Oryctolagus cuniculus: one gene and its partner. The protein of the gene in region 1 interacts with the protein of each later gene in a biochemical or structural test. Links are inferred from orthologs where the notes say so. Each region holds a gene or a part of one and is shown on either strand. Other genes may lie near its edges. The genes, in order: FLT1 and PGF.

Region 1 (4,558 bases):
CCTATTCTCACTCAAAGGCATTATCTCTTCCAGCTAAAACAGATTGCCTACTGCACCTTTATTCCCCAGTCAAGCTAAAATGAAATCACAATTGTGACAAATTATAGCATCTTTAGGTTCTTTGTAGGAAACTACCACAACTAACAAAAGGAAGTAGTAGTAAAGAAATGGCTGACTAATGCAAAAACCTGCAGCTTCTCAAAAGAATAAAGTTTCTAAAGGACACTAATCACAGCACGATATTCACATTAATCTAAGTTCGATCCAACCATGACTCAACCCTAAATAATTAGGCAATGCTTTAGTATTTTTAATGAGTGTATCCGATGGTAAAGATTGCTCCAGCTGTCCCTCCAATACCTGTTCTTGCTTTACAGACTTGATGCAGCCTAAACTCTGGTGGCAGATTTGGCAAGTGCTATCTCTGTGTGTTTAAAAAAAATTTAAAAAGAGCACGTGAAAAAAAATGGATTCAGTGAAAGTAAACCTTTGGCTGTTGCATGCTGAGCCTCTTTCCCCTAGAGCAGCCCAAGGTCTCTCCTGAAAAGCTCACTCCCCTCCAGCATTGTCCTGGGGGCCCCAAGCCATGGCCCCCTGCCCACACTCCCAGCCCCTTAGAAGGCAGAGATAGGGTCTTTCCATCCTAGGGCTGTGCCCTGGCACAAAGCCTGGCCCCCGTGGGTGCAGCAGGAGGAGGGCAGGACTGCCAGCTTCTCTTAGGGAGAGGGTGAGGGAATGAGATGAGGCAGAGGGTCAACGTGGCTCTGCGTGTGCCCCAGCCTGTCTCCGGGCTGGGGGATGGGCTGGGGAAAACCCTGTTCTCAACCCCCCACCCCCACTCCTTTCAGTGGTTTGGAGGAATCACCTGGGCTGGAGGCAGAAAAAAAAAGGAGGGGGGGGGGCCGCGAGCCAGAGGGATAAGGAGCATTAGAAAGGGCTGGGAAGCAGCACGTGAACCATGACACCTCCGGGGAACCATGGGGGATGGAAGGATGGCAGCGCAGGTGCAGGTGCCCTAGCTTCCAGGGCCGGACCCGGGTCTCCTGCGGGGAGCCGTCGGGCGGCAGCTCTCCTTGCCGTGTGGCCCAAGATGTGGCAATTTCGCGTTGCCCAAGCTCCCTGAGGCGGGGAGGTCGTCCATTCCTTCAGGAAGACTCACCAGTCCCGTTCAGGAGCCACGCAGTGTCTTTATCGTGGCCATCTGCTTTTTCAAACCTGTGGGACTTAGGTGAGACCGCAACGCTCGGTGGGGCCCAGGATGACCCCAGCCTTGGGGGTGCTGGAGACCCAGCTGAGGCAGAGCGTGGAATGAGTGTCCTGACAAATGATCTAGTACCTCACGTCGCCTGGTTTAGTTCTAAGAGTAGCAGAGTCACTCGTCCTGCGTAGCCAGCTGCCACCAGTCCGATAGCATTTCCCAGTCTTTGGGAAGCGAAGTACTGGGCCCTCAGGAGTTGTAGGGGAGTTTTTCAGCCTCCGCGCCTTTTAATTTTTTTTTTTAATTAAAGGTATCCTGATGCTATTCCTTGTTTTGCTTCTGGGAAGCAGGGGATTGAGGAAATGACTTGGGCGGGTGCTTCGGTACCGCCGAAAAAGTCTCAGACGCGCTCCCTTGGGACCCGAGCCGGTTCGCAGTCTTTCCCCAGGTGCCAGGCGGGCGTCCGGTCCTCTCGGGCGCTCCTGGTCAGTGACTCGTACTGAGGGTCTCTGGCACCTTCTGAGACTTCTCGGGACAGTCTGGCGGGGTCAGGGGCGGCGGGGGCAGCGCGAGAGAAGCAGGCAGAGCGAGTGAGCCGGACTGCGCCTCGCTCCTCGGTGCCAAGGACACGGTCTCGGAGGCGCGGCCAGCTTCCCTTGGATCGGACTTCCCGGCCCGAGAGCCGGGCGGCTGAGCTCCAGCCCTGTCCCCTCCCCAGTGTCTGGCGGCCCCCAGAGCTGAGTAAGCCGGGCGGAGGGAGCCTGCGAGGATTTCCTGAGCGCGAGGAGCGGGAGGGGGCAGGGGCAGGAGGGCACGGAGCGAGGACCCTGAACCTGCCGGGGCCGAGCTCCCGGGCCCGCGAGGCCAGCGCCTCCCCTCGCGCGCCCGGCGCCGGGTCCCCCGGCCCCCGCCCCTCTCCTGGGCCGCAGGGAAGCGAGCCTGGGAGGAAGAAGAGGGTAGGTGGGGAGGCGGATGAGGGGTGGGAGACCCCTTGACGTCACTAGAAGGAGGTGCCGGGGTAGGAAGTGGGCTGGGGAAAGGTTATAAATCGCCCCCGCCCTCCTCTCCTCTCAATCTAGGTCCGCGGGAGGCTCGGAGCGCGCCAGGCGGACACTCTTCTCAGTTCCTCCTCAGCAGCGGCGGCAGCTCGGAGCGGCTCCGGGACTCGGGGACAGCGGCCAGCGGAGTGCCGGGCGGCGAGGAGTGGCCGAGGAAGTGGTTGTCTCCTGGCTGGAGCCGCGGAGAGGAGCGCTCCGGGCGCAGGACAGGAGCGCGCGCGGCGGGCTGAGGCGGCGGCGGAGCGCGGGAGGACGAGTGCTGGCGACCGGGTGGTCGGCCGCGAGGAGCGCAGGCACCGGGGGCGAGCAGGCCGCTTCGCGCTCACCATGGTCAGCTGCTGGAACACCGGGGTCCTGCTGTGCGCGCTGCTCGGCTGTCTGCTTCTCACAGGTGAGGCGCGGCAGGGGGCCGGGGCCGGAGCGGCGCTGGGCTGGGACGGCCATGGAGCAGAGACCAAGCCCCCTTCGCCCCCCGAGTCGGGGCCAGGTGCATACGTGGGGAAGGCAGGCGAGGCTGCAGCCGCGAGAAGCGAGCCCGGCGGGAACCGGAGACAGTTGCGGCGGGTACGCCCGGGACCGCGTTGCCTTTTTTTCCAAGTGGGCTCCTAAGAGAGTGGCTGACCGGAGCCCGCGGGCATCACCGCCCAGACCCGCCGCCTGCAGCGCGCCCGAGTTTGGCACTGGGGCTGCCCCTTTAAAGCAGGATTCTCTGCCCTGCTCCGGGGCAGGACCTAGCCCATCCAGGATGTGGGCACGGGGAGCACCGCACACTCGGGCTGACCTGGCAACGAGAACCTGTCCTTGGCTGCCTGGCGCGGGTCTGCGGGGCCCTCCGGGACCAACAGCAGCGGCTACGGAACGCCTGCAAGGCTGCCCGGGAGTGGGAGGCGATCAGGGCGTTGGCAATATTGGGCACTGGCCAGGACCTCGCACAGCGAGAGGGAAGCAGGAGAGCCAGACAGGAGCGTGCTGGTGCCTGCGTAGAGCGGGCGCATCCAGGGACCGGGCCAGCGCTGGTGTCTCTGGACCGGCGAAACTGTCCCAACAAGCCGGACCGTCCCCAGGAGCTCTGGGAGCTCCCGCAGCGCCCAGCCCGGAGCCGACCAGGGGTCCTGAGCGCGCTGCGCGCAGCCACCAAGCTGGGACCCCTGCGCGGAGCAGGCAGGGTGTGCCGTCCAGCGCAGGTCGCCGGCGGGGAGCGACCCTGACCCCCGAAGGCGGGCGAGGGCCCAAACAGCGTCAGGGTTTGACGTTGTAAGTCCGGTCTTTACATTTTGAGTGGAAATCGGTGATGTCCTGTCGGCGCCGCCACCGAAGTCAGTCGGGCTTTTGGGACAGGGGCGGCGGAAAGGTCAGGCAGGGGCGCGGAGGTTTTAGCGGCAGTTGGCGTGGAGACAGCTGCCGCGAGGGGTCACAGCCCAGGGGACACGGGGGATCGCACTCCAGGTCTCCGCTCGGTGAAGCAGGGAGCCCAGCCCGGTGCGTTCGGCACTCTGAGCGCCTAAGGAGCAGACCGCCCGGCGCGTTCCTTTTCAGGATCGTGGAGAAAAGGTAAAAGAGGCAGTGACATAAAATAGAAAAACGTAAAATAAATCATTGCAGCCCTTCGCAGGAAGAAGGCAAGAAGGCTGAGCGTAATAAAAACCAAAAAGACACCAGGCTTGTTAAACCCGCAAGGCAGGAGCAAACAGTCTTTCTCAATGCGAAGACTGCTGTGATCGCGGGTTTCTAAGTGACAGGTCCCTGGCAAGTCGGTGACGCTGCTCAGGCGGGAGGCAGAGAGAAGCGGTAGTGGCTGAGCCCTCAGCGGAGGTTGGGACAGATCCCAAAATTAGCACATTAAATCAGAGCTTGTGTTTTCATTTCGTAGAGGTGTATCTTGTTTTTTGAAAAGTCGCTTATGCTAAAATTCAATTGCTTAGGGAATTTACCTGGTTCATTCCTCGACTATGTAAAGGTAAATCTAGGTAAATTACTGTGAAGCCAACGCTGTAGTGGGAAAAGTACACATTTTATTGGATTCTCACATACCACAGGATCTTCAAAAAGTTTATGGAAAATGTGTTCTATGAGAAAATGGCAGGGATTTCCATTTCTTTGTGCACCAAAAATAAATTGCTCTTTTAATTCCTTTTTCCACGACCTTTTGGGAGTACCGCGAATGTATATATCCTTGCTTCAAAAACGTGGCTGATTTTTCGTGAAGTTAGCTTCATGATTGAGAACATCTTGGAGGAGTGGAAGCTTTACGGGAATGTGAAGTGGGTCCTCTTAGACTATAACTTTCTTAAATAGAACAGAA
Region 2 (4,446 bases), on another chromosome or scaffold:
GCTGGGGCCACAAAAGGGCTCTCAGCTCCCTGGCCAGCCCTGTGGGCGAGTCTCCCTTCTGGCCCTGGCTACCTACGGCCCAGGAGGGAGGAGATTCAAGAAAGGAAATGTGTTATCCTGGGAGTAAGCCTCTGCCCAGGCTGCTGGGGGGGGGGGGCGAGGGCTGGAAGAGCCCGGCAGGTGCCCGGCCTGCCGGGGGACGCCCTGTACAGCCACTGAGCCGCTGGGCACCTGGGCTTAGCCCTGTGCTGCTCCCAGAGGCACAGAATGCCCATACAAGGCAGGACCATGCAGTCCCTCACGAGAGGACGGCATTGTCAGATTGTGAGAACTGGGGTCCACAGCCCATTGAACTTCCTGGGGCCACCATTCAGCCTCCCACCCCGGATGCTGGGAGATACATCCGCCCATGCCTCCTCCTTGGACTTGAGAATGCTGCAATCTTAGAAAAAGAAAGAACTTTAGCTGTCGTGTAATCTCCTGTTCCCATTTTACAGATACAGAAACTGAGGCGCAGACATTGCCTGAATTAGACTAAAAGCACGAAAGAGGGTACTATGTGGAGGTGAGGGATGGGTCCCTCCCCAAACCCTAGCACCACCAGTGAAACCAAGGGCAGCTACCTCCCCTATCTGCCCGGAGGCCAAGGGTCCCAGGTGCCCAGGCATGGCACAGCCCACAAGAGGCTGGCTGCCTGGCTGAGAGGCAGCAGGCAGCAGGCAGGCCAGCAGAGGGTGTTCCCAGCCCGCAGACGGCTATCACGCGTGTGCGTGTGCACGTCCCTACACGCCCCTCTCCCACGGCTCCGTGGGAAGCCTCGGCAGTGGTGTGTGGCTGCCCTGCACGTCTCAGAGAGGCAGGGAGGGAGGAGCGAGGCAGGGGGCCTGGCACAGGCCTCCCGCCTCCTGCACGTATGTCTCTTTGGCAGAGTCTCCTCATTGCCCTTTGAAGATTCCCTCCTGATGCAACCCAGGGCGGGGAGTGGAGGGGCCGGGGAGGGCGCGACTTGTGTTCTGTTTGTAATCACTGGAGAAGCCTGGTCAGATCCCTGCCACTCCGCCAGGGCTGGGCTGCTGGGGAGGGCCTGTCCCCACCGCCCCCCACGCACACCCTCTTTGACTGCGTGCCCTCCGTGTCCAGCTCCCGGACCCCCAGGCTGCCCCTGGCACTCGCTATCCATGCAGCCCTCCAAGATCGCATCTGCACCCTTACATCATGCTGGGAAGAGGCTCCGAGCCAGCTGGATGATGCCGGGCTGTCCTGGCCGCAGCCGGGCTCTCGGCGTGCTCGGTGACCCTGGCCCACGAATGCCCCTCTCCAGGCCTCTGGGTCAGAGTGGGTGGGTCTCTGAGGCCCGCCAGCCTCGGCAGCCAGGATGTGCAGCTCATGGACCCTCCCAAACATATCATCAGCGTGCACCCACCCTTCACACCCATCCCTTCCCGGCCTCTCGGGAGGAGAGAAGCGGGGACCGGGTGCGCCCACAGCCCCAGCTGGCTGGCTTACCTTCCATCTCTGAGGAGCCGTTACCAGCAGACAGGGCCCACTGCTGCGGACAGAAAGGTGCAGACGTGAGAGGGGGCTGCCGAGGGGCTCTGTGCTCTGGGACAAACGTGGTGGAGGCGGGGAGGGGCCCCTCGGAGCTCCCTGAGCGGTGTACTCTGCCCTTTCCCAGAGTAGCCTCTCTCCAGGGCTCCGCTGGGTCCCGCCCCTCTCTGGCCTCAGTTTCCCACACTGGGAGAAGGGTGGGAGGCTGGAGCTTTAGGACATCCTTTGCCATCCTGTGGGGTCTCCCTTTCTACCCAGCCCCCCAGGCCAGCCCTGCCGGGCCCTGAACAGCCCGCCTTGGCTGGGTGCCAGAGCCCAGAGGCGGTGATCAGCTGGTGGGAGCTGAGGGGCCAGAGCCGGTGGCGCCAGGAGCTGGTGCTGCTGGTAACGTTACACCTCTGGCCAGCCCTGCAGCAGGCAGGCAGGCAGGCGGCTGGACTGGCCAGTCCAGCCCACCCCTGGGCTCTGGCTGGGGACTCCCGGGGTAGCGCAGTGGGAAGGGAGCTCATTGGCTTTGTCAGGACTGCGATGCCCAAGCTGGCTACCAGCCAGATTCACCCGGCTCCTGGGAAAAGGGTCCTGCTCACTTCCCCAGGCCCCTCATGCAGGACTTCTGGCCCCCCAGCTAGGGATGGAGGGCAGAGTGGGACCCCTTGTCTCACTGCCAGCCCACCTCCCAAACTCCCACCTCCACCCAAACTCTGTAGAGAGCCCCTCTGGTGGGCAGGGCCTGGGCTCTCCACCACCAGCCTCTTGGTCCAGCTTCCGCCCTACCAGGCCAGGTCAGAGGTTCTGGGGACGCCTGGCTGGTCACAGGGACTCCACCCTGACCACAAGGCCGGGGACCTGGCTGGGATCAGTGGACAGATGCTTTTAGCAAAGCAGTGAGGGTTCCAGGAACCAGACAGGGAGCTTCTCCCTCCCCTCCCTCCTGCCAAGACAGCCCCCAGCCCCACGCTGGGGACAGCCCACCTGGGACTAGCTCCAGAGGTCAAGAGTCCAGTGCCAAACCCCTGGAAGCCTGCGGGCATCCTTGGAGCCCCCTGCCCGGAGTGTTGGGATGGGCAGACCCGGCCGGCCAGGCTGGGAAGAGGGATGTTCTTACCTGTGGGGGCACGGCGGGCAGTGCCAGCCCGGTCAGGAGCTGCAGGAAGCAAGTGAACAGCCTCATGGTGGGCATCGGCTCAGACTTCCAGAGCCAGGGTGCTCCAGGGGGAAACAACCATGCTCGTCCCCCGGGCCCTGCACCGGAGCAGAGGCGCGGGGAGGGGGCAGGCCGTGCCCTCAGCGCTGCTCCGAGGCCGCCGCCGGCCTCAGCATCCTCTGGACGCCCCGGGGAGTCAGGAGCCCACAGGTACGGCTGCGCTGGGGAACCTGCCGCGGCGTGGCCCGGTGGCGCGCGGCGGGGCGGGACAGGCGGGTCCCCGGGAGGGTCCGTCGGGCGCCGCGTGCGTCCTCCGGTCCTCCTGGCGGCCGGGCAGTTGTCTGAAGATGCAGTTTCCTGCTCAGACAGCAGCTCCCTTCTGAAGCTGTCGGCGACAGGGTTTCTGGGCTGTGCATCGGGGCGGGGCTCCAGGCCGGCCCCGCCCACCGAGGCTCCGTTCTCGCAGCCGCGGGAGCTGCCGAGAGCCGAGCTGAGAGCCCTGCCCGAGAGGAGAGGGGGCGGGGGTTGGGACGGCGGCGGGCCCCCCAGCGCGCTCCACCGTGCAGAGCGAGGAAGGGGCGCTGCCTACGTAGCCCCTACACCCTGCCGAACTGCCCGTGCCTGCCCACCCGGGGCTCCCCAGCTGCGTGCAGGCTGTTATGCGACCGCCACCTCGGGTGGGGCCAGCCGTCCAAGCTGAGACTTCAGCCGCCTGGCAGGGGCCGCAGCCCGGACCCCCAGGATGGCTAGCCCCTGGAGGGATGAAGACCCCGGGTCTCAGAGGGTGCTCCTGCCTGCACGTGCCCAGCAGAGAGACGAGCACACCCTGGGGAAGGGTATGTGGGTATGAGGACCTGCAGAGACAGACCCGAGCTACTATGCAACTCCAGAACCCTCGACACCTGACCCACTGCCTTGGGGCCAGACACTTAGACCGCATTGCTGGGCAGCTGTGCACCACCCACGGGCAACGGAAACGCCTGGGGCTCCTGGCTGGGGGTCCATCTGGGGAAGCAGTCTGCCCCCTGGGGAGCAGGGTGGCCAAGCCTGCCTCTCCTCCTGGCCTTGGAGGAACTGCGGGCATCAATGCGTGGGGAGGTCTGTGTGTGTCTGTGCAGGTCCACGTGGCTGAAGATACGTGTGCTATGTGTCCCAGCCTGTGTGTGCCCACTGCTTACCTCCAGCTGCAGCTCTGTGTGCTGCGTACCTGGGTGTGATTCTGTGTGTGTCCCTCTGCTGTGTCCCTGGACAGTGTGCAAGTAGATCTGAGTGTTTATTTCTGTGTCTGGCTGCCTCTGTCTCTGCTCATGTGTGTCTTTCTCTGCGTGCCCATATCTGGACAGGTTTCGGTGCGTGACTGCTCATCTGTGTGCACGTGTGCCTGGTCTGTTCGCTTCTTCACTACCATCACCTCACCCATCCCTGCGGTTTGTTCCCTGGCTGCAAGATCCCAGCAAGCTGGCTGAGCCTGGGGCTGGTGGATGGCTGTGGGGGAGGAGACAGGCCTGGGAGGTGGCCCAGCAGCTCACATTCCAGCCAGAAGCAGGGAGGCCAGGGCGGCAGCCCGGCTCTCACCCCCGTGACCTCTGCGCCCGCCGCCTGCCTGCCCACCCACGAGGGGCTGCCAGAGACATGTCTCCTTGCCTGTCCCAGAGACCCAAAGCCAGGGACCAGCCACTCGCCAGCTAAGAATGTTCCGACGAGCTCCAACATGCTAGGGGCTGTCGCATACACAGAGTCCTTCCTGGGACCAG

The links.
Region 2: the proteins of FLT1 (region 1) and PGF are reported together in a solved structure, tested with the Homo sapiens proteins (2 studies listed by BioGRID and IntAct, with this or other methods). The link is inferred for Oryctolagus cuniculus from reciprocal best matches to the Homo sapiens genes FLT1 and PGF.

Annotation. Positions count from the first base shown.
Region 1 is NC_091440.1:86,019,310-86,023,867, forward strand, and holds the start of FLT1 (vascular endothelial growth factor receptor 1), read left to right. Parts: upstream 1-1,655; 5' UTR 1,656-1,939; intron 1,940-1,950; exon of another isoform or gene 1,951-2,154; intron 2,155-2,277; 5' UTR 2,278-2,583; coding exon 2,584-2,647; intron 2,648-4,558. UniProt on the Homo sapiens protein: Tyrosine-protein kinase that acts as a cell-surface receptor for VEGFA, VEGFB and PGF, and plays an essential role in the development of embryonic vasculature, the regulation of angiogenesis, cell survival, cell migration, macrophage function, chemotaxis, and cancer cell invasion.
Region 2 is NC_091451.1:21,008,942-21,013,387, forward strand, and holds the start of PGF (placenta growth factor), read right to left. Parts: upstream 3,068-4,446; 5' UTR 2,729-3,067; coding exon 2,654-2,728; intron 1,550-2,653; coding exon 1,507-1,549; intron 1-1,506. UniProt on the Homo sapiens protein: Growth factor active in angiogenesis and endothelial cell growth, stimulating their proliferation and migration. It binds to the receptor FLT1/VEGFR-1. Isoform PlGF-2 binds NRP1/neuropilin-1 and NRP2/neuropilin-2 in a heparin-dependent manner.